Linked DNA regions of Sus scrofa. The protein of the gene in region 5 binds, or shares a complex with, the protein of the main gene of each other region. Links are inferred from orthologs where the notes say so. Each region holds a gene or a part of one and is shown on either strand. Other genes may lie near its edges.

Region 1 (4,088 bases), on a different chromosome or scaffold from region 5:
TTCCCTAAAAGGAGGAAGACCAATTGCAAAAACAGTATAAAAACAGAGATTTCAAACTCATGGTGATTAATTCAAACCCATTATTTCTATCATTAAGCTGTTACTTTTAGTCCCTCTCAATAATCACATGGCTCTTAGGTCACTTGTTTGGATAACTGAAAAACTGTTTGGCTGTCAATTTTCTGATCATGCCAACTCAAAAAAGTAGATGGCTAGTGACTTCATCTCATAATCAAGGCTCAAAGTAGGTCACACTTAGAAGTCAGAGCACATTGAGAACCAGGTGTTAAAAGAGGGCCAGGTACAGTTCCTGTCGTGGCTCATCAGAAACGAACCCGACTAGTATCCATGAGGACGCAGGTTGGATCCCTGGCCCTGCTCAGTGGGTTAAGGATCCAGTGTTACCGTGAGCTGTGGTGTAGGTCGCAGATGTGGCTCAGATCTGGCATAGCTGTAGCTGTGGCTGGGGCAGAGGCCAACTGCTATAGCTCAGATTGGACCCCTGGCCTGGGAACTTCCATATGCCATGGGTGCAGCCCTAAAATGACAAAACAAACAAACAAAAAAACCAAAACATGAAAAACAAAACAGGGCCAGATGTTTATTTAGCTGGCTTATAATCAGTTAACATGTTAACTATTCACTGACAGAACTCCTTAAGTTTGGGCATCGGTATACAAAGGTACCTTCAATTAGAGCCTGGTTAGGCAGAGTCTTCGGCTTTGAAAGACACCTCAATTAATGTTGCACTACTAAACGTTAAGAAGGGATAAATACAACCGGTTTTTTTTAATAACTTAACTGCAGAGGTACTAGGGCTGGCTGTGGTCTATGAGTTCCTGGCGCAGTGCTCTCCCCCGTTATTAGCTTCACAAAGCTTCCCCTTCCCCCCCCCCCAAGCAGTTTTCCTCTACTCAATCCTGGGAGAAAAAAAAGTGACACCAGAGAGTAACTTAAGCACTTCCTGAACAACAAAAAAATCCCACTCAAAAAAATGCTGCTTGGAAAAGCTTGAAATCTATAGCGAACTCCTAGATAATTGCTACCCAGATGCAACAGAGAGAATCCTGACACACCTGAAGTACCAGACTCCGTACCGCAACTTTGGCAAATGCCTTTTATAAAGTAGAAAATATGATACAAAGAAAATGAAGTGCTAATTAACACTCAAACGACAAAAATAAAATCCCTCTTCTCTTAGCTCTTTGAAAGACCAGAAATAAAGTTCTTGTGCGTTTTTCACTTATTAACAAGGCTTAATCTAACTTAAAAAATACTGACAAACAGAAGCAGAGCCGACACTGATTCACTGACTCAACTTGTACAGGCTCTGCATCACTTCTAGGCCAAAGATTCTTTATTATCAACACACAGTTTAATTTAAGTAGTAGAAGCAAGTGGTGGTACCCCTTCCCTCCGGCCCCCAGTTACTAAGCAAAAGGAGAGTGGAACGTGTTGCATAGTGATTACAGGCAAACATCCTGCCCCACCGTGACACCCGGGCGAAAAACCACCGCTGCGAACTTTTTTAGACTAACTAAATGGGGCTACTCTTTCCTGACGCCAGTACAATAAACAGGACACCCTCAAGTTTCATATCCTTGCCCCAAAGGGTCCAAGAGCAGTCACCGTTCGCCCTTGACCAGAGTCTCGGGCAAAAGTTTCCTCATTGCGATGGTTCCAGAACACTGGAAGGGCCAAGGAAGCAGGGAAGTGGGAGCAGCCCCGATCCCATGTGACTCGGGCACCCACCCACCCGGGAAGGCGAGGCTGGGCAGGCAGCGCTGGGGCGTGGGGTCAGGGTGTAGGGTCTGGGGCTGGCTCTCGGGTCTGCTGCCTCGTCCGGAGGAGGGAAGACAGGAGGGGGCACCCCGCACTCCCGGCACCCGGCTCCCTTCACTTCCCTTCTCGCAGGGGGCGAGGCCAGCGACGGAGTGGGGGGTGGGGGGCCAGCCGGGATCCCTGCCCCGCAGCAAGAGGGAAAAGGGGCACCCCCAGGCATCCCCTCCGCTGGGGGCAAGGGCACCCCGGGCAGGCAGGGTCGGTGCCCGGGGCGCGCCCCCTTCCCGCGCGCCCGCCCGCCGGGCCCGTTTCTACTCCGGGGACTGAGCGAACGAGGGCGGTGCCCGGTCCCGCGCCGGCCCGCGGCCGCCCCCGGCCCCCGGCCCCCCGGCTCCGACCCCGGCCCGGCACCTTTGATCACGTTGCTGTAGATGGTGGGACGGAACTCCTCGCGCGCGCGCTGGTCGAAGTCCTGTCCGTGGATGATCCGCATCTGCTTCAGGAAGGTGGACTTGCCGCTCTCGCCCGCACCCAGCAGCAGGATCTTCACGAGCCGCTTCACGTAGGTCTTCTCCCGCGACAGGCATTTGTCGATCTCTTTGGACTTGCGCTGCTGCTCGGCCTCGCCGCTCGTCAGCACGCAGCCGGGGAAGCACACGGACAGCACGGACCGCGACGGCAGGAAGTCCGCCATCTTGCCGCCGCCGCCGCCGCCGCCGCCTCGGCGGGCCCCTCCGGCTCCCTCCACCTCCTCCTCGGGCGGCGGGCGGCTCCGGCACCGCGGCTCGAGGGCGGGGAGCGCAGTGGCGACCCGAGCGCGCCGGGGGAGGGAGGGAACCAGCGAACTGACTCGCAGGGCGGGCCAGGCGAGCCGGGGAGGGAGGGAGGGAGGGAAGGAGGGCGGGCCTGGGAGGGGCGGTGGCCCGGGGGACGTGCGCGTGCCCGCTGCCTCCGGGGGCGCGCGCGCACGCCGCGGCGGCTCCTCCGACCCGTGCGCTGGGCCGGAGAATCACGTTCTACTGTGAATTCGCGGCCGCCGTCAGGCGCGCGCGGGGAGGGGTTGAAGGGGTGGGGCCTTGTGTTCATGTGATCTCGGGCTGGGCGCCTTGCAGAGCCAGCCTTTCTGTTTCCCTTTAATTAGCTGCACCCACTTACGCGCCCAAGGGCTGCTTCCGGGAGCCCTGGAGGCTGGGGCCCGGAGAGAAGAACTCAGATGCAGCACTTTGGGTTCCCCAACCGCTCCCGCCGCGGTTACGTGCGGGTCGCCGGCTGTCATCGTTCGCTCTCCTAGTTTCGAGGCCATTGGCTTGAATGTTATTCAAAGAGCGAGCGCGAGTTGGGCAAGTTTTTGGTGCGTTTTCCTAGAGTATCTTCCTTGACATCCTGCTCTCACAAACTCAAAACGTTAACCAAACATCTTCACATCCTCCCCAACACCGGCCCGCAGCTCTCTTCGGTATTCTCTGAGCCCTACAAAGATCATCTCTTGGAGGAGAAAGACTTCGTGTTGATGTTAATCTGAGATGGGCGAGGAGGGGTTGTTGATGTCTCATTGATGCGGATTCCAACCCAAGCTGCTGAAATCAAGATGTAGCTGCAGTAGGGTGAGGTCATGGTGAAAATCCCCCTTAACCGGACACTGTGATGCAGACTCTTCCCTAACAAGGAAGCAGATAAGCAAACAGACCGAGGAGAAGAGCCGGCAAATTTTAGGTTTCCTGCCAGATTACAGAGGATATGACCAGCCAAGGGACTTTTTTCCTATCCTAATAGCAGATTCAGGCCAGGACACCTGAAGGGCTGCCAGGAGACAAGCGACCAGTGACAGCTGGGTTGGCCCCCAAAAGCCAACTTCTTCATTCTTGGTATTCTAGTTTTAAGTGCAAAAAGGCTTTTGGGGTGGTCTCCGTTTATGGCAGTACAACCCTAATGTTCCTTGATGAGAACTTCTGTGGCTCAGAAACGTCTATGCGTCAGAAACTGAAGAAAGAGGTCAGCACTCCCAAGAGGCTCAGGAACAGGTTTAAATTTTAAAAATCAGTGCTAATCAGTTCACTGTCTGGGTTGGGTTAATGTCCGAGGAGCCTCATGACTCAGTAAACTGGCTGCAGTAAACAGTGCCTGTAGTGGGATTATCTCCTCTTGTCCTGGCCAAGCCCACAGGGTGGACAAGCTACAATATACAAAGTAGTGTAGGTTCAACTCTTAATATCTAAGGATTGTTAGGGCCAGAATCACTAGGTGGTGCCTTCAGGTAAAATATAGGGTAAACGTCTCTCCTGGTTGCAAGATCTCTCTGTGGCCTC
Region 2 (4,101 bases), on a different chromosome or scaffold from region 5:
AATGGCACCTGTCACAGACAGACCTTGGCCTTTCTCCCCGACCTTGACCTCAGGTGGGCAAGACATGACCTCAGGTGTGGAGCTGAGCCTTGTGACCCAAGACAGTTATGGTGCTGGGGGCTGCCCTGCTGCTTCCAGGCCACCTCACAGAGCCACAGCTCCCCGGGCAAGGGGTGCCAACTGGCACATTCCGCGAAACAAGGACCGGGTGAGGGCGGAGGTACGGAGCGGGCGTGCGGAAGAAATGAGGCACAGCAGGGGCAGAGCACGTGGGAGTCCAGAGACCCCAAGTGCCATCTCTGCCTCGCCTCCGGGACCAAGTCTCTGAGCTTCAGTTGCTTCAACTATTAAATGAGAAAATACCACCTGCCATGCTTGCTTCCCACAGTTTTGTGAAAAGGATAAAATGGAGTAAAAGGCACTCTGCAAACTGGGACGTGCCAGGCAAACGTACGCGACAGCCTAATGATGTCCAGGGCAGGAGGCCTCTGACCCAGGAGGCCTCTGACCTGTGGGCAAAGCACAAAGCAAAGGACGGCGTCTCCTCCGAGGCGGGAGGCCCCTCGTGGCCTTGGTGCAGGAACGGCCACTGCTGGGGCCACTAGTCCGTCTCATGGCGTGGGCCATCTAGCCAACATCATGCCGCCAGATCGTGACCCTACGTGAGGACTCACAATACCTGGTTCTCCGGCTCTTGCTGTTCCCCTAAAACTCCCGGCCCACCTGGTTTCAGACTCGACACAGTCCTGAAATTTCTTGAGCAACTACTACACGCGAGGCACGGCCTTGCCAACCCCACAGGTTGGTTTTTGGCTCGACTGAGATGACACATGTCCCAAACAAGTCAATTATTCTCATTTCCACCATCAGGCCTACCGCCGCCATCACGATCATGGCGGGTAAAGGGACAGGGAAAGGACCATCTTGGTTCTCGGGGTTCTAGCACCTGCAGAGCCAACCCAAGGCGGGGCCCCGTCGGCAGCAAAGCATTCTGGGACGAGATTACCCAAACGCAGAGAATTCTAGAAAAGGCCCCGCCTCACAGTTTACACAAGTCCGACCCACAGGAGGGTCTTGAGGCCCGCGGCCACCACGGAGAGTCACTGCGAACCCCAGAGGTTGACGCCCCCATTTCCTCCCTCGTGGCTTTGTCATTTCTGAACTCATTTTGTTCTAACTGTCGCTGCTCCCTGGACAGCCCCCAGCTGACAGTCAGTCTGGTTCCTGTTTTGAGAAATCTGATTGCAAATGTCTTAAAAAGGGGGGGGGTGCCCTAACGGCCTTTTCAAAATGCAGACCGATTTTCCTCTCCCAGGCCTGGTGTTCAGTCAATTCGAAAGCCAGCAAACAGGGCCCAGTGGAGGGGACCGGAGATGCTGGCCCCGCAGCTTTGGGCCCTGCTTCAGACACTCAGGATGCCACGGTCACAGTCCTTATTTCGCACCCACCGCGTTTCACAGATGAGAACACTGAGGCCCTGAAATGGGAAGGGACTTGCCCAAAGTCACATGATAAGACCATGACAGCTCAGAGGGGCCCAGGCTCCTGGGCCGGCTGGGCCGGCTGGGCCTCAGCATGGCAACTCCCAGGCAGAGATAGAGGAGTTGCTGGGACTGGTGGTAGGCCCGTGGCTCTTGCAGTTGCAGAATAACAGGTCCCCGCTCAGGCCAGAAGGGTGGCCACATTGTGGAACCAGCAGCCGGAAGCCCTGATCTGGCAGCCAGGCACCACCCTGGACTACCTGTGACACTGAGCAGGCTACTCCCATCTGGGCCTTCGGCTTCCCCACCTGTTCCACACTGGTTCTACCCACCCATGGGCTGCTTGACGCTCAAACAATGGGAAAATACTCTAGAAGCCATAAAACACTGGACAGCCTGAGCTACTGCCTGTATCCTGTCTGTTCCTGTCCCTAAATCCTGAACAGTTTAAACTTTGATATCAGGTGCAATGTCATCAGTTGTCTCACAGAGAGGTGGCAGCCGTGGTCCAGCTGCTGCAGGGGTGCCGGGACGTCCCCTGGCAAATGGCACCCACAGGGCACCGCAAGCAGGGCCTGCCGGAGGACGAATTCGCGGGGAGAGGGACAGATGGTGTCTTAATGGGATGGGGCGCACACCGTACCCTGCTCCCCACCACCGCCCCAGCCCCTAAAGCCGAATTCAAACCCCACCCCAAGCCAACGACCCACCCGAAGAATGGGGAAGACCCAGTATCCCCCAAACCTCAGGCAAGTGTCCACCCGAGGGGGCCAGGGTGGGGGCAGTGGCACCCGGGGGGCGGGTGCTGGGAGCAGGGGCAGCGGAACGAAGGGAGGAAGAGTCCGGCCAGGCAGATGGGGCAGGCAGGGGAGGGGACCCAGGGCTACCCGAGGAGAATGAAGGGGAGCAGGGAGCCCCTGGGGCCGACAGAGACCGGGGCCAGGCAGAGTGTGTGACGGGAGAGGGAGGCACAGTGGGGCAGGGGGCACCGGGCGGGTCGGGGAGCCAGGGGAGCTGGCAAGCCCGGCGCTGGGGCGCGCCGGGTTCAGGTGCACAGGCCCGGGGCGCCGGGGGCAGAAGGGGTCCCGGGGCCAGTGCCCGGGGGTCTGGGGCCGCGGGGCGCGGGGCCGGCGCCCGCCTCACCTGGGCTCGGGCAGCAGGATCTTCTTGCTGGCGCGCGCGGCCGGCGTGGCCTTGCTCTTCTCCATGGCCATCAGGTAGCTCACGTCGGCCAGCACCGCCTCCAGGTCCGCCATCTTGGCGGCGGCGGCGGCCTCTCCCGCCGCTCGGCTCCGCTCCGCTCCGCTCGGCGCGCTCGGCCCGGCCCGGCCGCTCCGTCGGCCTCGGGCGCCGCCGCCCGCCTGGCCCCGCTGGGCGCCCGCGGCTCCGCTCGCCGCGGCTCACAGGCGGCGCCGCCCCATGGCGCCGGCTCGGGCCCGGCCCCGGCTCGCTCCGCTCCCGCCGGGACTGCAGTCGGGCCGCCGCCGCCGCCGCCGCCGCCACCGCCACCGCCGCCGCCGCCGCCGCCGCCACCCGCGCCCCGGAGCCGCCGCCGCCTCCGGCCCCGCCTGCCGCGCACAGCGCCAGCGAGCCCGCGAGGGGCCGGGCGGCCGGGCGGCGGCGCCCCCTGGAGGCCGCGCGGGTGGCCTGAGACTGACCCCCGGGGCCACCCGGACCCCGTCTCAGCTCCGCCCCGTGGCCTCGGATCTCGGACCCCAACCTTCAGCCGAGACCCTGACCCCGGACGTGGAACACGGCAGGGACCTGGCCCGAAGAAGCCCCCAGACCCAGACCTGGACCGCAGCTCGGATCCCAGACTCCACAAGAGGCCATGGCCGGGACCGCAGACTGGCGTTTCAGAACGTAATCCCAGGGACTTGGGTCTCAGAGCCTGGCTGTAACCCCTGACCCCTGACCTTGGACACAGTCGGAAATCGCACCGCAGACCCGGATAACATTCCTGACCCCAGACTCCGAACAGGACCTCAGACCTAGACCTTGGACCACCACCTCAGACTCTGACCATGGCCTGGGATCAACACTCTGAGCCCACCCCCCCGCCCTTCACATCCAGACCCTACCACTGACCCCAGACCCAGATTGTGGACCATGACCTCAAACACTTGATGCCACCCACGGACCACGACCTCCATCCCACCTTGGTTGCTGACCCCAACCTTGATCCCACCCTCAGACTCAGACCGCTATCATGACCCTAAACCCTGGACTTGAGAGCAGGGCCCAGACCCAGATGTGGGCCATTCACTGCAGACCAGGGTTCTAGACCCAACATCAAAAACTCTGAACATGGTGAGTTCCCGTCGTGGCGCAGTGGTTAACGAATCCGACTAGGAACCATGAGGTTTCGGGTTCGGTCCCTGGCCTTGCTCAGTGGGTTAATTATCCGGCGTTGCCATGAGCTGTGGCATAGGGTGGTGGCTACGGCTCTGATTAGACCCCTAGCCTGGGAACCTCCATGTGCTGCAGGAGCGGCCCAAGAAATGGCGAAAAGACAAAAAAACCCCAAAAAACTCTGAACATGGACCCAGGACCAGGACATCCAACTGGGACTGAGACTGGACCTAGAACATTGAACAGGTTGCCATGGACCTGGGAGCTG
Region 3 (4,055 bases), on a different chromosome or scaffold from region 5:
TCTTCCCCAGAAAAAGCCCCCCCAACACCCCGCGCCCCCCCACCCCCCTTCCCTCCCCCCAGTGGGCTCTGCCCTAGGTTGACGGAGGAGGGGGGGCTGAGGACCGGGGGGCTGAGGTCCGGGGGTGCTACAAACTCAGGGTCACTACTGCTCTGCAGGGGCACCTTCCCCTGCCCCCAGCTCCCTAAACCCCACTCTCAACCCATTCAACTGCCTTTCTAGACGGTTTCTCTCTGGAATAAGAGTTGGCTCCCCTTTCCTCCCACCCAGTGCTTTGAGGAGCAGAGGCCAGAGGTAACTGAACTGTGGCCATAGAGGTGGCTGTGGCTGTAGGCACCCCAGGGGTGACAGACGTGCTGCTGCAGGCTGGAATTCAGGTTGGTGTGTGGTAGAGCGTGAAGATGTATGTTTGTGTTGCTGGTTGCCTGCACTAGAAGACTGGCAAACTACACGAACCCACTGCCACCCAGTGCTAAGAAAAAGAGCAAGAAAAGCAAAACAAACCAAAAAAAGAAAAGAAGATGAAAAGGAAACAAAGTCAATGCGGGGGATTCCTAAGCTTGAGGACCTCGAGGCGCCTTGCTCTTGCTGGGCTCACTGCGCCTGGGTAGGTGGACTTGGAGCCCTTGGTGGCGGGTTACATGAGGTCATTAAGGACATGCGAGGGCAGCTGGGGTGAGATGTCTGCGGACAGCTCTGCTTGGCTTAGGCGGTTACCTCCATTTCTCTGCTCTTCTCCCTCCTCTCCTTCTCAAGTGACTCCCAAAGATATTACCATGCAGGCACCATTGATCTCAAGGCCTGGGACTGGCAAGCGCTCGAGAGAACCCTCCCTTGAAAGATTCTGTAGCTCAAAGGACGCCGCCGGCAGGAGGGTAGAGAAAGGGGGACTTTGGACTGGACGGGGCTGAGGCAAAGGGTATGTGCTGCTCTCGGAATCTGTAATTCCGGGCAATTCTGACCTCTTCAGAGCTCTCCTAGGAGATCAGCCTCCTGCCCCACTAGGGGCGCGGGGCGGAGCGCACAGATGGAATTTCCTCGCGATTTCCCCTGCGGGGGCAATTGAGGGTTCCCAAAGCTGCAAGTTAGCGGCGATTGCCCAGGTCCGCAGGTGCGGACCTTGAGGGACATAGAGGGTGCAGCTGTTCCCAATCTATGAGCGCGAACCCCGCTGAGGTGGTCCGGAGCTCATCTAGAGGTGGCTGTCAGTGAAGCCCAGGCATGGTCCGTCCGGTTGCTCGTGGACTGCCTTCAGTTCGAGGTGGACAGCCAACCTCCTGCGTGGGCCAAAATGGGATGTTGCAGAAGACTACCTATTCTTCTGTCCTGGGTCCCTTTCCCCAATCTTACTCCCCTGCCCCGTGGCCACATTCGTCAGACCACAGTACCAAGCCTCCCTCCAGCGAGCTGGCGCGGACGCCCCAAGAAAGGGCTGTTCGAAAGGCGGAACCCGAGGACCGCGAGGAGGAGCCGGAGGAGACAGTGTAGCCAGGCCTCCACCCCAAACGCCTGGAAGACCTGGCCAGACCCCCTGGCGGGAAGAAATACGAGGGGCTGAAGAGGGCGAAGCGCTCCCTTCTTCTCCCAGCAGACTTCTCGGGGAGAAGGAGGGAGCCGGGTGACAGAGGAGGGAATGGCTGGCTGAAAGAGGGCGCAATACCCTGGCCGGCGCGGCCCCCAGGCTGCCTTCGCCACATTCCGCTGGACCCGGTGACCCGCAGAATTACGCCCCCGCCACGCACTCTACCTCAATGGCCCCTTCTTTCCAGACCCGCCATCGCTGTGCGCGGTTCTCCAAGCTCCAAGAGTCAAAGTTTCCGTTTGCAGATCTGCACTTGTGGAGGAATTCTCCAATTCCCTAACCCTGGACGCCTCTGTGCCCGTCCCTGGGGGTTGGGAGGGACTCCGCAGTGCCTGGGGGCCCGGAGCCCGCCAGCGGAGAGCTGGGCAGCGCGGTGTCCTTACCTGCCGCAGGTTTAGTTCCACTTGCTCCCCGGGCTGCAAGAAGCTTGGTGTGGGCTGGCAGGAGTGGGGAGCCCTTCGCAGGTTCGGGGCTGATCCTCCGGGGAGCGAGCTGCGCGCTGTTCAGAGTCCGAGGCCAGGCGCCGGCTTGCTTTCTCCCTTGATCTAGCAAGCGAAAAGGAAAAGATTAGTTGGTGCCGAGACACCCGGAGGGGTGGGGCGGGGGAGGCGGGGAGAGAGCGGACCCAAGGCTCCGGCGAGCGCTGCCGGGCGGGCTCGGGCGCGCGCGCGAGCAGACGCGCACTTCGCACCAGTCCCAGTCAACTGGCGAGTCTGGAACCCCTTCGCAGTGCAGACTGGAGTGAAACCGACGCTGCCTCCGCCCTCCGCACCAAAACGCCAAAGGAAAAGCAAAAATGACTTTCAAACCTGGCCTTCATAAGGAAGATGAGTCTGGAGAGCAAAACCGAACCGAGACCTGGCTGGACCGGCGAGCTGGGCGGGATTCATTCCTTCACCAAAGTGCTTGGGGAAGTAGTAATCAGCGTAGGGACAACTAATTACCAATTAGGTCTGTGTCCCTGGCGATTTCCTAGTAGGATCTGCGGTTTCACGGCTCTGGCTAACCCTCAGGCTGGCGAGTGTGTGCGTTCGTGTGTGTATGTATGTTGGCGTGCGTGTGTGTGTGTGTGCACACGCGCGCACTCGCTGGACCGGGTCTCTGCGCCCGGGCACTTTTGGTATAACAAGAGAGCGTGCCGGTGTTCGTGCGTGTGGGTTTGATTAGCTGCAATGGGCGGACAATTTCTGGAGAGAACATTTACAATTTTCTTTCAATATGACAGGATTAGTTGCTGTTGAAGGCGCTCCTCCAATGAAATCTTCTCTGCTCTCTGATTCGGTGGTTCTTCTGAGCAAATATGACAGCCTTTTCTCCAGGCTTCTTTCCGCTCCTTTTCACGTCCATCCCCAGAGCCACGCTCTCCATCTGCAATCTCTACAACAGAACATTTACAGTTAGTCTCATTCCTGCGAGTATATCTTTGCTATTAAGGTGACATGACTTATTGGGAAGAACGCAGTGTTGCTTTTTGATTGCCGAAGATGCTTAAGCCCAGTTTTTCCAGGTGGGAAAATGTTAGAACAAATCTGCTATGCTTTGTAAACATACAATTGTGCTGAACTATTCACGGACTGTTTATTTGGGGGGGGGCAGTGGCAAATGTATTAAGAGGGTGAGGTAATTTTTTTCTTTTTCTTTTATACAAGGATCGATGTCCATGTTTTCTTAATAGACATTGGATTAAAAGTATTTATGATGCTTCATGGAATACGGTATCTCCAAGAAAGAAAAAAAAATGAGGATATAAACTTTTCATGTTCAAATCAGTCTTAGGTTTTTATTTTTTCATTTTAATGAAAACCCATTCCAACAAGAGCACTCATTATTTTTAGGTACTTATCCCAACTGGTAAAGGTACAATGATCTGATTCTAAAATATAGCTGAGGACAAGACTTGCTTTTGTGAAAGTATGTGCATATAAATATAACACCAGTGTATGAAATATCTTAAGGCTGCATTTTCTCTCATCCACCTTCTGCAATTAAATGAAAAAAGTTGAAACCTTAATTGATATATCTGGTTAAGTTCAGTTCAATTCTTGATGCCCAGGCATTTGCTAGCTGTCAAAGGGAATACAGAGTAGCAAAAGTCATTGTGTCTTTCCTTTATAAATAAGCTCCTGGTCTTCTTGGCAAGGAAAGACACCCATGACCATCAAGGAGAACAACTGTGCAGCATAAAAATTTACTGATAATGAAAATTCTGTAGATGAAAGAGTTTGCCCTTTTTGTTAACTTACATCTATCACTAAGCAGGATGTGGCGCAACCGTTTTTGGCTTGATTAAAGTCATTCTGAAATAATGCATCGTACACTGTAGTTCTGCCTTCAATGCTCCACACTCTCACATCCCACCATCACTGGGAGATTATAATATACTTGTCAGAAAATCAAGACAGCTCTATCCAGTCTTGATCAGAGCTTTCCCAGATTTGGTCCTTGACATTAAGTATCTGATTTTGTCATTCCT
Region 4 (4,217 bases), on a different chromosome or scaffold from region 5:
AATGCCCCTTTGATGTGAACTAATTTCATTTTCAGGCTTACTTGCAGATATAAGGTATTCTTATTCGAAGTGTGGCTTATTACAAACAAGTACCTTAAGAAACTTTTGTTTGTTGAGTCCCAGAAAGAAATATATTTTACTTTGTATCTCAGTACATACATAAGTATAAAGAAGAGACACAAGTTTCAGGAAACCATGCTCACCCTTGTCACAGGAGATGAACTCTATATTTTCTATCTGTTTCACCTTATTTTTTTAAATGTAGCTTGTGCCCTCTAAATTGGTTTCAGAACCCAGAAGTGGCCTCACGGCATTTCCAAAAACACTGTCAAGTCCTCTTAATAGATCATCCCCAGGTAATACCCACTCTCTAAGGATCTACAACACTGTATCTACGTGGAAAATATTTTGATAGTGTTAAGACAGCAGTAGAGTTAAATTTCTGTACATTCCAAGTGTTTCTAACAGGTGTAACCCCTTTTGGTGTTCAAAAAACATCCGTGGCTGACAGAGTCAATTTTATCCTCTTGAGAGACCCCAGAGCCTGATCTTTGATTCCACTTCTCCCATGTCGTCTTCCCTGAAATCTTCTGCCTGCAGGGAACCCTCCCCCCCCCGCTTTTTTTTTCTTTCTCCAATATTGTCTCTAACAGAAATAACACCTTAATTTGTCTGGATCTTTCTTTTACACTTATACAACACACAGTTTAAGGTTTATAATACCCCCATGCCATCTTTCTCACTAATGTTTAGACTTTTGCTTTGTCTAAGTTATGGTTAAGGGTTGTGGTCCCATACACCTTCAGTAGCTTCATGGACCCAAGCCCCATCCTCCTCTCAGAATGCCAGCTGTCAATAAGCGATGTAGGATGCCCTAGGATTAACCTTCAACAGAAAGATCTCCCTGTGCTTCCTCGATCAACAGAATGCAGAGAACAACAATACCCTCCACTCGGCAAAAGACCCTCCCTGATTCAATGTTATTGCCATGATTTGGCTACAACAGGGAAATTCTCAATGCTTGGCCCCCGGAAGTTGACCATAAGAGATATTCAAACAACTTTAATAATTCTCTGCTTGTTTACACCAAAAGAGGGTAATGAATGTTATGTAAGAGAGTTCTTATGGGAGGGCATGATCAGGTGTTGGCCGATCAGCAGCTGCTGGAAAGAAGGGAACTACTGAACCCAGGACAATGTCAAAGCACAGAGTGAATATTCATATTTATGTCTTGAACTCAGAAGAGTTCTTGTACAGGTTTTGTTTGCATTACTGTGTATGTGTGTTAATTTGCAAAATTCCTCTCCCAATTGCCCTGCTACCTTTCCTAGTCACATTTTTTTTTTTACAGCTAAATACATCATTCCTACTTAGATCCCCAGAATCAAGGGACTGTAGAATATTCTCTTGCAGTGGGGCGGTGCTGTAGGGTTTGAATGCATGGTGACTCACACACAGCCCTCTGGGTCACCAGACTGGAGGTGGCAGGGAAGGGGGGGGAGCGAGGAGGGGAGAAAGAGCCTGAAAAACAAAACCCCTAATAAGGTCTGGTTGGAGAACCAATCTGTCCCCGGACCCTGTCCCATGAAAGCCCCCAATCACATGATTTAGGTGTCCCTAAAGTCCCCTTAGGGTGAGAAATGGGAGTTCAAAATAGGACAGAAACACACGCACCTTTTGCCTAGTGCAATCTCTCCAGGGCAGGGATCACAGAACGGATGGGTGTAGGTTGCCGTCCCATTCACAGGGCACCTCTGTCGTCTGAGTGCTTAGGAGAAACTCGGACTGCCCCGGAAAGTGTTCTGTGTTGTTGTCTGGCTTTCTTCCCGTCCTATTTGGTTGCTGTTGCCTTTATTTCTTTTGCTGAGTAAACAGTGTTGGTAACCTGGACGGTCCACGACCACCTTGCAGTCTCAGTCTCGGGACACGGCGAGATGTTGCTCTCTTAGCCCAAAGTCCCTTGAACAGAGTTAGGAAAAAAAGTGTCCGCTGCTGCCTTGCTCTATCCAGCGGTGGGCTAAAGGATGTTGAGGGCTGTGCGTCCTTGGAACCAACTTGCCCGCCTTCCAGAGCGCTCCAGCCGGCAGGAGTAGCGCCCTGCCCGGAATCAGATTGTCCCGGGCTCCTCCTGGCATCAATGGCTTTAGTGGGGGAGAGGCACTCGAGACCCCCGTCTTCCTCACCTCCTCACTGTGCTCACTCCCCGTCGTAGGCTACTGTGCCCACCAGCAGCCCCTACATGAAGGGAGCTGTTCCCCTCAATCCAGTCTGCGCCTCCAGCCCCAGACAGCTGCCCAACTCTGAACGCTCTGGCAACACTTTGCGGACCCCCCAGCCCCTCTTCTTACCTCCTGCCTCCCAGCTCCTTCCCTTGCTTTCTCTCGGCACCCCAGTTCCTAGACAAACGTTTTCCCACCCATCTCCATCTCACTTTCACCACCTCGCCCACTGGAGACCCTCTCCACAGGCTCCCAGGTGGTGCTGTCCCCCAAGCAGCGGCTGAAGGAGCCGGGGTGGCACGGTCTCTAGGGGTGGGTTCTTTTGGAAACTCACCTCCCTCCGGAATTTGCGTCCTCTGGGGAGGGGGACAAGGCTCCTAGAAAGCTATCTCCCTGTACACTATGAATCCCCCAGCCCAGACTGTCACCCCCTCCCCAAGGTCTAACTCGGGTCCCTCTCCTGCTTCTCGTGTTTACGCCGCTTTTTACTCTTGGGGTCTCGTGGGGTGAGCCCCCGCGGGGACTCGAGCTAGGCAGCCGTGCGGGTGCAGCCCCACTCGCGGGCCAGGGCGAGAGGGGCTGGCGCGTAGGCGCTCAGAGCTCTCCTGCTCCCCCTCCCTCTCCAGGGACAGGAGCGGGCTGACGGGGGCGGGAGAGTTCGGGGGCGGGGGGGCTGGCGCTCATCAATTCCGCTGCCACCTCCTCTGCTGCCCGGGAGGAGGGAGAGCGGGCAGGGAGGGGCGGGGGAGCGGGCAGGAGAAGACTTAAGTCGGGAGAAGTTTGCGCAGAGCTCACAGCTGGGAAGGAAGGCGCCGGGAAGGTGAGCCTCTTGGACTTTGGGGAGGTGGGAATCAAGCATGGGGATGAAGCCCTTGCCTTTTAGCCTATATACTAGCTGGGGCTAGGTGTAAATGATCACTTAAGGCAGAATTAGAGTGTCAGGAAATCGGGAGAAGGGCAGGAGAGGGAGCGCTCCGGACTAATGTACTTTGCTCTTCACTAGGACGGCCAGCCCCCCAGACCCTGGGAGGGCTGCGCCGCGCCTTTCTCGGACCTTCCTGGGCTGGAGAGGTGCGCGCCGTCCGCACCTCGCCCAGGGGCTGGAATCTCCAATCCAGGAGATGCGCGCTGGAGCCTGAGTTCCTGAGTCTCTGGAGCCACCACCTGCGAATGACCTTCGCTTCCACTGAGCTGTGCCCGGCAGCCCAGTGAGACTGCTCCAGGTAAGGAGGGTCTTGGAATGAGCTGGGCTTTAAGATTTAGGATGTTCTCTAGGGGATGGTTAACAGTGGAGATGCGCCAGATACCTTGTTTTTTTGATGACAAAACTGCACTTTGATTGTGATGTTTCAGGTTCTGATTAGGGTCGACTTAGTCTCAGTCACCTCACCTTAACATTGATTAAAGAAAAGCTCGTTGTCTAGGAAGGTACTAAAACTTAGGGTTTCATATTGACAAATCCTAGGATTTTGTGTGAGTTTTACTTGCCGTTAATATAAATTTTCCTCCAAAAGTTTTATTCTCCTGCTTCCTGGGTATGAAAATTAGACACTGAAAATTGTGGATTTTTTCTAAAAGGTATTTATTAACTCATAAACAGATAATATCGGCATCTATGTGATGTGTCACAGTTGTTCTAGATATTGGAAATGAGTACAGTGGTGAATGGAGTTGCTTCTTAAGTCATGTTTTACAGAGAATTATTTTCCAACAATCATTTATGCATAGCAGCCATTCTTCACACCTATTAGGAAAAATATGTTGTGTGCGTAGTTTCCAAAAGGGTACTCTTTTTTCATGATGCTCTTCCCAAGCCTGGGTGAAAGACATCATGAAAAGCTCTCACAAATTAGTTCTCCTTCCCTAAACATTCATTTTCCTTGAGGTCCAAGGAAATCCAGTCAGAGTCAAAAATCAACAATCCAATTAGATTTTTAACCCATTATTTAGACTTTATTTTGCAGATCTACCTAAGAAAAGCTCTATCTAAAAGCTTTA
Region 5 (3,860 bases):
TGAGTCCTGGCAGGAGCACCCAGGAGACCCCTGCAGACGTGCTGACCCCGCCGGCCCTCCCCTGCGGACAGAGCCAGGAGGACCCTCGCTTCCCCCACTCCCTGGGGTCACGAAGAGGGGGCACAGGGCCCTCGTCACACACACTGAAGTTTCTGTTTCTCACGCGTGCTGGCAGATGCTCTTCCTCTTACAAGGCTGTACAGTTCTTCTCTGGAGACCAAGACGTGGCCCTGGCACAGGGTGGGATGCCTGTCCCTGGAGGAACGGCCACAGCGTCTCAGGGCGGAAGAGGAAGGACACACCACCAGTGGGGGCGCAGGCTCAGGGAGGGGAAGGTAGGTGGGACACGGGGGAGACTCCACTGCCCTGGGCACGGCCAGGGAGGCGGGATGAGAGGAGGGCTGGCCGAGGCACTGCCGCGCGATTGGACGGGGCCACCGGGGGAGGGCGACAACCTCCAGGAACTGAAGCGGCCCCACAAACGAGCAGCCACAGCAAAGTCCCTCATGTCAAACTGCTTTATTACATCTTAAATAACAGTACAGTTGGATATAGGATCTATCTCGCATCCAGCTTCCTGGCAGTACACGGACTTAAAAATTAAATACAAAAGGAGAAGGGCAGGGTGCAGAGAGCTCTACGGAGGAGGCGCCGACAGGGGAGGGGCGCGTCCCACCCGCTGCAGGCCCAGGCCAACCGCGCCAGCAGTTTGCACAGGATGTTGCAAACACAGGATGGAGAAGCTGCTGCTGCTGCTGCGGGAGCGCTTGGGTGCAGGGGGAGGCCGGCCGCTGTCCAGACGCTGCTGCTCAATCCTGGGCCCGACCCCAAACCAGGGAGGTCCGCTTGTTAGAAAGGGTTGGCCTCAGATGCCAGAGGCTGGTTCCCAGGGAGGGCCAGGCCGTGCAGAACTCACAGCGTGAGGCTGAGGTCTCGATCCCCGCACTCCCCGCCCCAATCCGACAGCAATCGCTTGGAACAGGACTTGATTTTTAAAGAAAGAAAGAAAACAGTGACTTATCCCGCTGCTTGAGCGTGTGGAACCGCTAACTGCGCGGCTTCCGATGCGATGCGTGTGCACAGAGGAGCAGCGCTAAGTGGACAGAGCTGCAACGGTTACAATTTTCAAGAGGTTATTTCTTAAAAGAAAAGGAACATCTAAGGACTGAGTCCTGTATGCACTTTTGAGCATTTCTACAGCATGCGATTCTAAGAGTAAACCCACCCAATATGGCAAACAATCAACTTTTTTAAAATTTAACTTAGAAAGTTTGAGATCATTATTTTCAAAACATTAATTTGTACACTGCTTCATACACAGATAACGGACCGACTATCCAAGCACAGACGGGCACCTCTCTGGCAAACAGACTCCTGACGGCTGCGGTGGGACTCGGGGTCATGATGCGCTCCTGTTCGATGCCCCCACTGTCGCCAGGAGACCCCAGGTGAGACTAAAAGCTGAGCTAGAGGGCAGAGAGGGCCGGGCCGGCCGGGCGGGACGAAGAGGTGCCTGACGGGCGTCCGCAGAGCGTGAGAGCCTCGGCTTCTCAGCATCCTCCTCCTCCTCCTCCTCCTCGGCCGTGTTCGTGCGCAATCATCACGTGACACTAGACGCCAAGTAAAAAATCTAGGGACTAAATGTACATCGTTAACAATGGCAGAGAGGCTGCGCTAGACCCTCTTTCTCTGTTTAACTACGGAACAGAAAGGAATATATGTTAAGAAAGAAATGCGAAGGTTTGCAAAATCCTGTTACAAACACCATCTGCAGTTCAGAGTCCATTACAAGATGCGGCCCCAGCCGGTTCTGCCTAAACATCACAAAACAGGGTCACTCATCTTGACTCCAAAGAAATGAGTGAAAAGGTGTGTCTGTCTCACAATTACACTCAAGTTTACCTTCTGGTTAATGTTTTTATTATTGTATTTCCTTTTCAATTCATTCAGGACAAAAAAAAACACAAAGGAACAGGAAGAAACAAGAACAGTGGTCCCGCAGGAATGCACACGATTTGCTTAGTTTACAGCACGGAGGCTCTGCTCTCAGTGGGAATTGTGCTCTTGGTTTCGGCAATAGTGAAGGGAGAAGATCTTGCCCTTTGGAAGTCCGGAGGGGGTGCAGGGCGTCCGCGTTAGTGGGTGGGTGGGAAATGCTATCACCGTGACGCTCCCAGGCTGGAAGGGCCTCCCAGTCCCCGCGGCGTCCACCTGCTGCTTTAAACAGAGTTAGAGATGTGAAAAGAAACAGACCCCCACGTGCAGCTCCGTCCTCACCACGGCTCCGAATGCTGCCCTCACCCCGCATCGGATTCCAAAACCCCCGCATCAGAGCTCATCGAGGAACCCTGAACCCCGACTGCACCGGCTCACGAGAAACACAGAGCCGCATGCAGAGGGCGCCTGGCCGCGCGGTACCTGCTGGCGTTAGTTCCAGATCTTAAGGAAGCTGTCCCAGGATCCCGTCGCCACGGCCATCCCATCGTCCGTCACCCCCAGGCAGCTGACGCGGTTGTCATGCCCAGCCAAGACACCTGAGAGCAAACCCTAGCAGTCGCCCGAGGGCCCGGGGTGGCAGCCCCAGAGCCCCCGGGGCCAGTCTGCAGTGCGCAGTGGCCGGGCAAGGACATGAGGACGGAGAAAGCCTGGTGAGGCGGGTGGGGAGGGACGGGGTGCCTCCTGCAACTCCCGCCAAGGCCAGCGAGGCCGCTGTGCTCCTCTCGCACGGGGGCGGGGGGGGGAACGGGGGGGGGGGACGGGGGGACGGGGACGCGCCCAGGGCCGGGGAAGCCCTCAGACAGAAGGGAGACAGGGCAGAGCGGCTGGGAGTGTGTGTGTGACCACACGACTGAAAGGCACAGACAGTCCCAGAGCCCAGGGCCTCCTGCGCGGACTCCTGAGCACTCACAGCAGTCAACAGCTTCAATAAAAACAGCAGAAGCACAAGAGAAAAAATCCACACCACCCCATCTCGGGGGAGCATCAGGCCAGAGTGATGCCCGCGGCAACCCCAACGTGAGACGGGTCCGCAGTTGCGCGCGGCAGCCTGGTGGGTAATCACCTGGGCAGGGGGAATCTGAGGCCTGGAACCTCAGGGGGCCCTGCCCACCTTGCACGCTCACCAGTGTTGGTGCAGGGGCTGGGGGACCGGTGGGGGCTCGACACAGAGGGGCAGCCACAGGCGGGAGCCCCGCTCTGGCCCTCCACCCTTGCAAGCACTGCCGGCTAAGAGCCGCCGTTCAACTTCTGGCCCCAGGGTCCCTCCTCAGCCCTGGGACCACCTTCCGCACAACCTGCCCCCGAATACACGCGTCAACGGCCCCCCGCCTGCCTCTACTGGGCTCTGCTTTGGCGGGCACGGCGGGGGATGCCTGCCTGGATTCGTGCCCCAACACGAACGACGGGAAGGAGGGAGCAAGGCTGGCCCTGCCACCACCCCTCTGCTGGCCACGTGTCAGGAGATCCTGTGCCTCTGGGAGACCCCGCCTGAGTGCCCCGGAGGCCGGGGAGGCCCCGGCAGCCACCTACCTGCCCTGTCGGCCTTGAGGGCGTCCCAGACGTTGCAGTTGAAGTCGTCGTACCCAGCGAGGAGGAGGCGCCCGCTCTTGGAGAAGGAGACGGAGGTGATCCCGCAGATGATGTTGTCGTGGGAGTAGGTCATGAGCTCCTGATCCGCGCGGAGGTCGAACAGCCTGCAGGTGGCGTCGTCCGAGCCAGTGGCAAAGGCGTTGCCGTTGGGAAAGAACTGCGGAGAACGCACACACGGAAAGTGGGCATGCGCACGCCAGGCGAGCCTGGAGGCAGGGCTGGGTCCCGCGGGCAGGCAGGCCCAGGGCAGGGACCTGCACAGAGCGGTGGGC
Region 6 (4,230 bases), on a different chromosome or scaffold from region 5:
TTTTATTCATGGTTTTTAATCTCCCTGAAGTGGATTACCTTATCTATGTATTTATTATATATCTCTCTCACAAGACTCTAAGCCCCAAGAGGGTAGAGATCATTTTTTTTAACATGTTGCTGGAACATAGTAGTAGACTTTTAATAAATATTGGTGGAATAAACAAGTGAGCAATTAGATATTTATCCAATGCCTATTATATACCAGTTATGTTCTAGGCACTGGGGATGTGGTGATGAATCAAGCTAACTCAAATCTATGACCTCTTAGACTTTGTATTCTTTAAAATTAAAAAAAAATTGTACACAGTTTTTAAAGGTTACTTTCCATTTAGTTATTACAAAATACATCCTTGAGCCTAGCTTATACCCAATAGTTTGTACCTTCCACTCCCCCCTCCCTATGTTGCCCCTCCCCTTCCCTCTCCCCATTGGTAACCACAAGTTCTTTGTGAGTTTTCTTCCTTTTTGTTATATTAATTTGTTGTATCTTTTAGATTCCATATGTAAGTGATATCATACAATATGTGTCTGTCTGACTTATTTCACTTAGTGTAATGTCCCCTAAGTCTATCTCTGTTGCTGCAAATGGCAACATTTCACTCACTTTTATGGCTGAGTAATATCTGAACTTTATATTCTAATGCAGGGAAACAGTAAACAAAATGGGGAAAGGGACGCTGCTTGAGTGGGGCTGTATGTTAAATAGGGTGACCAAGGGAAAGTTTTGCTACAGAGACCCAAAGAAGGAGAGAAGGGAGGTACCTGAACAAGGTGAAGAAGATAAGATGGGGAGGAGAAATGAGTCTTTCAGCAAAGCGAGCAGGATGTGCAAAGGCCCTGAGAAAAGAGTAGGGCTGGAAACGTGGTTAAAGCAGTGAGCGCCTGAGATAGTGGCAGGGGATGGGTCTGAGAGGTCCTCAGGGGACAGCCCCAATCTCGTAGAGTTTTGTAGGCATTGGCGGTTTGGGTTTTACTCTTTTTTTTTTTTTTTTTTTTTTTGTCTTTTTGCCTTTTCTAGAGCCGCTCCCCTGGCATATGGAGGTTCCCAGGCTAGGGGTAGAATCAGAGCTGTAGCCACTGGCCTACGCCAGAGCCACAGCAATGCGGGATCCGAGCCGCGTCTGGGACCTACCACAGCTCACGGCAATGCTGGATCCTTAACCCACTGAGCAAGGCCAGGGATCGAACCCACAATCTCATGGTTCCTAGCTGGATTCTTGCGCCACGACAAGAACTCCTGGGTTTTACTCTTTGTTGAGATGAGATGCCAGTGAGGGGCTTTGAGCAGAGTGACATGATCTGACTTAGGTTATAATAGGATCCTTCTTTTTGTTCTGGTGATAAAACACTGTAGGAGGCAAAGGTGGAAGCAGGGTGGTGGTGAAACATGTGAATAGCCTGGAAGAATTCTGAAGGCAGAACTGACAGGATTTGCCGCTACAATGAAAAAAGTAATGGTACAAAATTATGTACAAAATTGATACAAAGAAGGCTTTTCTTGGATTTACAGAAAAGAGACTTTTTTTTTCCCCCCAGGTCTGTGACACTGATATAACAAATAGTAGCACAGCCACCTAGGCATTCAGCATGGGAACTTGGAACTTTTGTGTCAGCTGTTATTATATCAAAGACAAAACCAACCAAACAAAAAAGCGTGGTCAAATAAATTCAGTACCAAAATCTGTACTTGCAATTAAGTGAGCTGGTTTGGGGCTTGATCTTAGTACACTGACATGAAATGAGATAATTGTTCAGCAGACGTAAACCTTTTAAGTGAAAATGACACATCCGTGAGGGGACTGTAAAGCTCATTGGGTAGTTATGTAAAAGGGGAAACATTTTTATCAAGAACAAAGATCTCGCCTGATATATACTGATTTGACAGTCTGTTTTTCAAACTTGATCTGATAATTCCTTAGATCTCTGACCCTTGCCTACCCGGTGACACTGATGGCGCTTTGGAGCCTACTCAGCCTTGCGTTCTTCTACCAGTGAGGCCACATAGCTGGTGCACAATAGATACTCATCGACTTGCTGATTAGACATCCTTCACCACCCACTCTTCCGTCCCCTTTCTGCGGTTCTCAGGAGCACTTTATTTACCAAAGTCAGAGATCAGATCATCACTCACAAATGCGAAATTTCAGAATGCGTGGGGGTTAGAGCAGGTGGAAGGAGCCATTCAAGGCCCCACCCGCCACGTGGTAACGGGCGAATGAGAATGTGGAGGGAGCAGGAGTTAGAAGACCACAAGGGATCTGGAGAGGGCCTTCCAGTGTTCGAGGACCCTGAGACTAGAAGGAATTTAGAGCGGGATGAACGGAGTGACCCAGGCCCGAGGGAGCAGGGGCACTGCACCTCTGGGAGGATAAAGACGCAGAGGTTGAAAGGGAGGTTCTCCAAATTACATTAGATCTTCTAACCCTCCAAGTCTCAGAACGCGATTCACCTGGGGCCACGGAGACGGAGCCTTCCCTTTAGGCCTCGGCAAACACGTCCCTTCAGGCTCAGCAGGAGGCAGCGTCCGCTACCTAGAGGGGAACGCGCCCCGAAGCCACTGCTTTAACTCACCCAAGTTCCCCCACTGCTATTTCAGCCCATTTCCTCCAATTTTGAGGTAGTCCCAACTAACGAGCTTGCGTCTTTACCCAGAAAATCCTGCAGCGGGATACCGAGGTTAACTTTTTGTTTGTAGGGATTTTTTTTTTTTTTTTTTTCCCGAGGCTACACGTCCTAGCGAACAAAATCTAGCTGCCTCCGGGCTGAAGCGGGCCCACCCCAGCGGGAGGTCTTTCCATATTTTTGGTCTCTGGAACTTTCAGCAACGCGGCGATCGGCGTGTTTACGAAGAGGCACAGTTCCCGTGTTCAAAGCGGCTAGGTGGGGGGAGGAGGGGCGGTCAGGCACTTCCACTCTTCGGGTGAGGAGAGCCTGAAAGTTTACGTATTCCTTCCACTGGCCCCGGAGCGCTTAGGAGGGAAAGGGGCGTTCTGATTGCCTCTTCAAAGAAGGCTCCTCTGCCGAAGCGCAGATCCCAGGCTCCGTCCACTCTGGAAGAGGATGAAAGTTGGGCGGGAGCGGGAAGGGGATGGAGCGCGGGTCGAGGAGGGGTGGGGAAGTCGGGGCGCCCGGGCGGCGCGCGAGCCGGGGTGGAGCCAGCAGCTGGCCACGGCGTCAGCGTTTAAGATGCAAATCGATTCACCGCTCCACCGCCCCCTCCCGCCTAGGGAGCGAGGCTCCGCCGCTCCGCAGCCGCCCCCGCCTCCTGCGCGCAGCGGCGCTCGGGCGGGCGGCTCTACTTAAGCGGCGTGCGGGCCGCCACCCGGCACTCCCCTGGAGCGCGCGGGCGAGGCAGGCAGAGCGCAGCGGGGCTCGCGGGGGCGCACAGCGGCGCGCTCGCAGGGTGCGCTCGGCTCCGCGCGGCTCTCGGCTGCAGCGGCGGCAGTGGCCGGGGCGCAAGGCTGAACGAGCGTCCGGGAAAGCGGCGGCTTCGGCGCGCGGCCCGGCTCCTGGCCACTGCCCTAGCCCGGCCACCTCTTGGCCATGGCTCTGGCGGACAGCACTCGTGGATTACCCAACGGGGGCGGCGGCGGCGGCAGTGGCTCCTCGTCGTCCTCGGCGGAGCCGCCGCTGTTTCCTGACATCGTAGAGCTCAACGTGGGGGGCCAGGTGTATGTGACCCGGCGCTGCACGGTGGTGTCGGTGCCCGACTCGCTGCTTTGGCGCATGTTCACGCAGCAGCAGCCGCAGGAGCTGGCCCGGGACAGCAAAGGCCGCTTCTTTCTGGACCGAGACGGTTTCCTCTTCCGCTACATCTTGGATTACCTGCGGGACCTGCAGCTCGTGCTGCCCGACTACTTCCCAGAGCGCAGCCGGCTGCAGCGCGAGGCCGAGTACTTCGAGCTGCCCGAGCTCGTGCGCCGCCTCGGGGCGCCCCAGCAGCCCGGCCCCGGGCCGCCGCCGCCGCACTCGCGGCGCGGGGTGCAGAAGGAGGGCTCTCTGGGTGACGAGCTGCTGCCTCTCGGCTATGCGGAGCCCGAGCTGCAGGAGGGCGCCTCTGCTGGGGCGCCGTCGCCCACCCTGGAGCTGTCTAGCCGCAGCCCGTCCGGGGGCGCGGCTGGCCCACTGCTCACGCCTTCCCAGTCGTTGGACGGCAGCCGGCGCTCGGGCTACATCACCATCGGCTACCGAGGCTCCTACACCATCGGGCGGGACGCGCAGGCGGACG
Region 7 (4,024 bases), on a different chromosome or scaffold from region 5:
CCAGCTCCCCCAGGGGCTCAGCTGTGCAGCCTTGGGCCAGCCACTTAACCTTCCAGAGCCTGTTTCCTCCTGCAACACAGGAACTAAGTCATTGAGTTGTGGGGAGAATTAAATGAGTTATGTATAAGCATTTCAGACAGAGCCGGCCATGCAATAAGCATTAAGTAAGCAAACACTACATCCGTGGCATTGTGATTGTTTTAAGCAGATGGCCTAAGACCACTTGGAGAAATAGGAACCAAGGTCAGGCTCTCCAGGACTTCTTTTCCCAGTCCCCAGAGCACTGGAGCCATAAGTGGGGCTCCAGTCAAGGGCAGGAGGGTCCAGCTGGGGTGGGGGGTGGGACTGGAAGGCAGGGTCTGTGCCTTTAAGGGATGCACCCCCCCACCACCCCAACCCACCCATAGCACCCCCAAGTCTTGCCTCTCTGCAGATCCTCTGTGTGGCCCTTCACTCCCACAGTGGTGGCTGGTTGGGTGTGTTGACTGCAAACAGTGGAACCAGCCCCCCTTCACTAGTTCAAGAGGAAATAAGATAAGAGCACAGAAAGAGCTGGAGGGAGGAACTACCAGATTTGGGCTCTGGAGGCCCAGTAAGGCCAAAAGACCTCTTCCCTGCCCGGGGCAGCCACAACCGCTCTGCCAGCCCCAGGAAACCCAGCCCTGTTCATTCATTTGTTCACTCACTCTCACAATCATTCAACAGCCATTTATTGAGCAACTACTCAGCTGAGTACTGGGGAAGCCAGCCTCCAGCCAGATGTGCAGCCATGCCAGACGTGTGCACCCACAGCCTCATCAGGAACCCTCGACCATCCGACGTGGAGCCCATGGAGATCAGTGAGGGCAGAGGAGGTCGGGGTGGGAGGATGTCTGCAGGAGGTAGGGGACTGACGAGTGGCAGGGGTTGGGAACTCAGATTGTCCTGGGTCCCTCCTGCCACACCAGGGCTGGTGTTCTCTAGCCCGTGGCCCTAGAAGAAAGGTGTTCCTCCATCCCATTTTGCAGATGATGAAACTGAGACTCAAGTGTTTGAATCACTTGCTTAAAGCCACCCCCAAAGTACGGGCATGTGGAGGAGTGGTCCTCTCTCTTCTACCTCTGCTTTTAGCAAGAAATGATAGAGAAAGAAGCGAAGGAAAGTGGAGGAGGAGGGGGAGATGGTTTTCAGTATTCACTTTTCCAGGGGAGGCACGTGGCCAGGGTGAGAAAAGCCGTAACCTTCTCCAGGGACCAAAGTCCTTTGTAGGGTGAGCTATTGTCCCTGTGGCTGCCTGAGAACACTCGTATTTTCTAACCTTTGGAACTTGCAGGGCAATTACACTCACAATGACCCCGTGAGACCTCAGTTTCCAAAAGATACAACAGAGGTTCAGAGAAGCACAGCAACTTGCCCAGGGTCCCTCAGCTGCCGTGGGGGAGTGGGAACTCTATACCCAGAAGATGGACCCATGCCGGTCCCTCTTGTGCTGAAACGTTCCCTTTAGCCCAGCCTAAGTCCCGTGGGGGTGCTCACAGAGCACACTCTGCTGTATCCTGGGGATACACCCAGACTGACCGGATGGAGTCTGGCCCCCAGCCTCCCAAGATTCCCAGGGAGGCCAGGAGTGAGCGTCCTGTTTGGGCAGGGGGCTGGGGGCTGGGGGCAGAGAACGCAAGCTTCTGGTATCAGAGACCTGGATTTGAATCCCAGCTTCTGGACTTCCCGGCTGGAGGAATTTGGGTCAGTTACCTTAAGACGCGTGTGCCCCTCAGACCCAGATTGCTCATGAGCCTGGAGAGAGAAGCTTGAATGGTTTGCCGCTGTGCTTGGCATCTGGTTATTACCTAAGAAAATCTAATTCTCTCTTCCTTGCAGCAGTAAGTCTCCTCCAGTCTTTGGTCAACCTGACTCTGTGCCATCCTAGCTGATTACAGCCCTCCCCCCTCATAAAATGGTGCCTCCTCTCGTGGGTCCAGAGAGGGCACTGAGGCTGCCCAGCCCCTGGGCCACCGCCTCCTTACCTGGGCACAGAGGGAGCGCAGGATTCCAGCCCCGGAGGTAGTCAGCTCCTGGCAGCAGAGGCAGGCAGAGGCAGGGGAGTGAGGCTTAGGGAGGAAATAACTGTCAGCCCCAGAGTGAGTGTGTGTGTGTATTTAGGGGCGGGGACAGCTGGAGAGTGAGTTGTCACACTGGTATTCAAGTAACATCCATCCCCACTGATGGGGACTGGACATAATTGCTGGCAGCCCGCCTCACTCTCTCCCTTCACAAAGGAGATTTTGCAAAAGCCCGAGGTCAAGTGTAAGTGCGCATGGGGAAATAGGTGAGGGCCAGAAAGTGTGAACCCGAGCGTGCACGGGAGGTGCTCTTGAGAGTGAGGAGGGCGCCTATCCACTGTCTGTCCCCTGTCCTGGGCTGCCCTCCCCTGATTCCACCACCTTCAGGAAAGAAACTCCTGCAGCCCCTTTAAGCTTCCCTTGGCAGCTCAGCAGCTGCCTGTGAGGGGCCCCGAGGCTCTATGGTCGGAAAGGCAGGGTGAGGCCGTGGTGAGAGCACAGGCCTGGCTGTCTTTGCTGCCCACAGCCCTAGCCAGGACACCTCCCTCTGCCAGCCCCTGTTTGACCATCTGCGACCAGAGCATCTCCTGTCATCTCCCAGGCTGATTCAGGCATCCTCATTCACAGAGTACCCAGCATGCAGGATGTGCTCAGAAAAATCAGGTTTCTTCCCTCCCGGGGAAAAACAGATATAGGCTGTGGGGCAAGGGAAATACAACTTTTATTTTAAAAGACCTGAGGAGTTCCCATTGTAGCTCTGTGGGTTAAGAACCTGACTAGTATCCATGAGGATGCGGGTTTGATCCCTGGCCTCGCTCAGTGGGTTAAGGATCCAGCGTTGCCACAAGCTGCAGCGTAGGTTGAAGATGTGGCTTGGATCCAGCATTGCTGTGGCTGTGGTGTGGGCCGGCAGCTGCAGCTCCTCTGGTTCGACCCCCTAGCCTGGGAACCTCTGTAAGCTGCAGGTGCAGTCCTAAAAAGAAAAAAAATTAAAAAGGGCCGGTTTCTGGGCCCATGCATGAGATGACTGAACTGTGTTCACTTACACTGAACTGTTACCTAACTCTTCAAGCCCCTTTGTTGACCAAGCTTCCTGGGGTCAGGGACCTATTCTTCAACCTCAGGGTTGGAGAGATACTCAAACATGATAAGAGCTCAGTACCCCCAAATCAGGGCAAGGACACCCCATAGGATTGATACAAAACTCTCCCAATTTTGGTATAGGCTTAATACAGGACCTTGGCGCGTGATAAATTTGCTGAGAGCCTGTGATGCTGCGTGAAGAATGTGTTGGGGAAACTTTCTCACTGTTGTCCAGGATGGCAGGTGAGTAGGAGCCTTGAGCACTAGGAAAATGTCCCCTTTCCTCTTAGTGACATGGGGCTCCGTCTTCTAGAGCCAAGTGCCTGCAGCCCTCCCTAGCTGGGTGTTTCTACTCCACTTTGGGGAAATTACCTTCATCCCCACCCACACCCCACCTGCTAAGCCAGGGACATCCTCTGAGGCCACATAGGCAGTGGAGTGTGGCAGGTGACCTTGGGCAAGTCAGTTTACAGCAGTAAAATAGGAATTTATTTTATTTTGTTTTGCTTTTTAGGGCCACTCCTGTGGCATATTGAGGTTCCCAGGCTAGGGGTCTAATTGGAGCTATAGCTGCCAGCCTACACCACAACTATGGCAAAGCAGGATCCGAGCTGCGTCTGAGAACTGCACCACAGCTCACGGCAACACCAGATCCTTAACCTGCTGAGCGAGGCCAGGGATCAAACCTTCAACCTCATGGTTCCTAGTCGGATTTGTTTCCACTGCGCCACAATGGGAACTCCAAAATAGGAATTTTTTAAAGGTACTCTTCCTGCACAGCCCCAAAGCAGTGTGAAACTGCTCTTTGGGCTTAGAGAGACTCCCCCCTTCCCGCCTATAGACACATCTGAACTCTAGGGCATCAGGCTTGGGGCAAATCCCAGCCTTCTGCCTGGATCTCC

Evidence for each region.
Region 1: the proteins of GNB1 (region 5) and GNA13 are in contact, whole or in part, in a cryo-EM structure (PDB 8H8J), measured with the Homo sapiens proteins. The link is inferred for Sus scrofa from reciprocal best matches to the Homo sapiens genes GNB1 and GNA13. Residues at the interface, in NP_001269468.1 of Homo sapiens: Gly53, Leu55, Lys57, Tyr59, Gln75, Asp76, Lys78, Ile80, Thr87, Asn88, Lys89, Val90, His91, Ala92, Ser98, Trp99, Met101, Leu117, Asp118, Asn119, Tyr145, Asp186, Met188, Asp228, Arg314, Trp332; in NP_006563.2 of Homo sapiens: Ser31, Ile34, Asp35, Leu38, Glu41, Lys42, Val45, Lys50, Gly205, Ile206, Glu208, Lys219, Val221, Lys231, Arg232, Trp233, Phe234, Glu235, Cys236, Phe237, Asp238, Ser239, Val240, Arg279.
Region 2: the proteins of GNB1 (region 5) and GRK2 are in contact, whole or in part, in a crystal structure (PDB 5UKL), measured with the Homo sapiens proteins. The link is inferred for Sus scrofa from reciprocal best matches to the Homo sapiens genes GNB1 and GRK2. Residues at the interface, in NP_001269468.1 of Homo sapiens: Leu55, Ala56, Lys57, Tyr59, Ala60, Gln75, Asp76, Gly77, Lys78, Pro94, Leu95, Arg96, Ser97, Ser98, Trp99, Val100, Met101, Leu117, Tyr145, Ser147, Asp186, Met188, Cys204, Asp228, Asn230, Asp246, Ile270, Cys271, Asp290, Phe292; in NP_001610.2 of Homo sapiens: Tyr553, Gly556, Lys557, Asp558, Phe584, Pro585, Asn586, Arg587, Glu589, Pro597, Gln598, Leu600, Thr602, Glu604, Ala654, Leu657, Val658, Val661, Pro662, Lys663, Met664, Lys665, Asn666, Lys667, Arg669, Pro671.
Region 3: the proteins of GNB1 (region 5) and CHRM2 are in contact, whole or in part, in a cryo-EM structure (PDB 7T96), measured with the Homo sapiens proteins. The link is inferred for Sus scrofa from reciprocal best matches to the Homo sapiens genes GNB1 and CHRM2. Residues at the interface, in NP_001269468.1 of Homo sapiens: His54, Leu55, Asp312, Asp333, Ser334, Phe335; in NP_000730.1 of Homo sapiens: Val50, Asn51, Arg52, His453.
Region 4: the proteins of GNB1 (region 5) and GNGT1 are in contact, whole or in part, in a cryo-EM structure (PDB 7L0P), measured with the Homo sapiens proteins. The link is inferred for Sus scrofa from reciprocal best matches to the Homo sapiens genes GNB1 and GNGT1. Residues at the interface, in NP_001269468.1 of Homo sapiens: Leu30, Ile33, Thr34, Ile37, Val40, Ile43, Met45, Arg48, Arg49, Trp63, Ser84, Tyr85, Thr86, Phe235, Pro236, Asn237, Asp254, Arg256, Ala257, Gln259, Leu261, Ser279, Lys280, Ser281, Gly282, Arg283, Leu284, Leu300, Asp323, Gly324; in NP_001316355.1 of Homo sapiens: Met31, Val33, Lys35, Cys36, Cys37, Glu39, Val40, Arg41, Tyr43, Val44, Arg47, Ser48, Asp51, Pro52, Leu53, Val54, Ile57, Asn62, Pro63, Phe64, Lys65, Glu66, Leu67.
Region 6: the proteins of GNB1 (region 5) and KCTD12 are in contact, whole or in part, in a crystal structure (PDB 6M8S), measured with the Homo sapiens proteins. The link is inferred for Sus scrofa from reciprocal best matches to the Homo sapiens genes GNB1 and KCTD12. Residues at the interface, in NP_001269468.1 of Homo sapiens: Arg8, Glu12, Lys15, Arg19, Thr184, Asp186, Cys204, Asp205, Ser207, Thr221, Thr223, His225, Glu226, Ser227, Asp228; in NP_612453.1 of Homo sapiens: Lys246, Asp251, Leu253, Glu255, Ser256, Arg257, Asp258, Pro259, Asp260, Arg261, Pro262, Pro263, Arg265, Arg269.
Region 7: the proteins of GNB1 (region 5) and PTGDR2 are in contact, whole or in part, in a cryo-EM structure (PDB 8XXV), measured with the Homo sapiens proteins. The link is inferred for Sus scrofa from reciprocal best matches to the Homo sapiens genes GNB1 and PTGDR2. Residues at the interface, in NP_001269468.1 of Homo sapiens: Thr50, Arg52, His54, Leu55, Gly310, His311, Asp312, Ser334, Phe335, Lys337; in NP_004769.2 of Homo sapiens: Cys59, Arg60, Arg62, Lys314, Arg317.

The regions. Positions count from the first base shown.
Region 1 is NC_010454.4:11,964,114-11,968,201, forward strand, and holds the start of GNA13 (guanine nucleotide-binding protein subunit alpha-13), read right to left. Parts: upstream 2,801-4,088; 5' UTR 2,477-2,800; coding exon 2,194-2,476; intron 1-2,193. UniProt on the Homo sapiens protein: Guanine nucleotide-binding proteins (G proteins) are involved as modulators or transducers in various transmembrane signaling systems.
Region 2 is NC_010444.4:5,224,708-5,228,808, forward strand, and holds the start of GRK2 (beta-adrenergic receptor kinase 1), read right to left. Parts: upstream 2,801-4,101; 5' UTR 2,738-2,800; coding exon 2,625-2,737; intron 1-2,624. UniProt on the Homo sapiens protein: Specifically phosphorylates the agonist-occupied form of the beta-adrenergic and closely related receptors, probably inducing a desensitization of them. Key regulator of LPAR1 signaling.
Region 3 is NC_010460.4:12,597,515-12,601,569, forward strand, and holds the start of CHRM2 (muscarinic acetylcholine receptor M2), read right to left. Parts: upstream 2,801-4,055; 5' UTR 2,527-2,800; exon of another isoform or gene 2,208-2,526; intron 2,128-2,207; 5' UTR 1,966-2,127; intron 1,952-1,965; exon of another isoform or gene 1,748-1,951; intron 1-1,747. UniProt on the Homo sapiens protein: The muscarinic acetylcholine receptor mediates various cellular responses, including inhibition of adenylate cyclase, breakdown of phosphoinositides and modulation of potassium channels through the action of G proteins.
Region 4 is NC_010451.4:73,402,230-73,406,446, reverse strand, and holds the start of GNGT1 (guanine nucleotide-binding protein G(T) subunit gamma-T1), read right to left. Parts: upstream 2,801-4,217; 5' UTR 1,675-2,800; intron 1-1,674. UniProt on the Homo sapiens protein: Guanine nucleotide-binding proteins (G proteins) are involved as a modulator or transducer in various transmembrane signaling systems.
Region 5 is NC_010448.4:63,866,655-63,870,514, forward strand, and holds the end of GNB1 (guanine nucleotide-binding protein G(I)/G(S)/G(T) subunit beta-1), read right to left. Parts: intron 3,746-3,860; coding exon 3,529-3,745; intron 2,535-3,528; coding exon 2,428-2,534; 3' UTR 2,419-2,427; intron 2,218-2,418; exon of another isoform or gene 2,215-2,217; 3' UTR 534-2,214; downstream 1-533. Other genes in the region: uncharacterized protein LOC110261347, read left to right, coding at 176-533. UniProt on the Homo sapiens protein: Guanine nucleotide-binding proteins (G proteins) are involved as a modulator or transducer in various transmembrane signaling systems.
Region 6 is NC_010453.5:49,030,409-49,034,638, reverse strand, and holds the start of KCTD12 (BTB/POZ domain-containing protein KCTD12), read left to right. Parts: upstream 1-1,430; 5' UTR 1,431-3,545; coding exon 3,546-4,230. UniProt on the Homo sapiens protein: Auxiliary subunit of GABA-B receptors that determine the pharmacology and kinetics of the receptor response. Increases agonist potency and markedly alter the G-protein signaling of the receptors by accelerating onset and promoting desensitization.
Region 7 is NC_010444.4:10,890,056-10,894,079, reverse strand, and holds the start of PTGDR2 (prostaglandin D2 receptor 2), read right to left. Parts: upstream 2,801-4,024; 5' UTR 2,004-2,800; intron 515-2,003; 5' UTR 424-514; intron 1-423.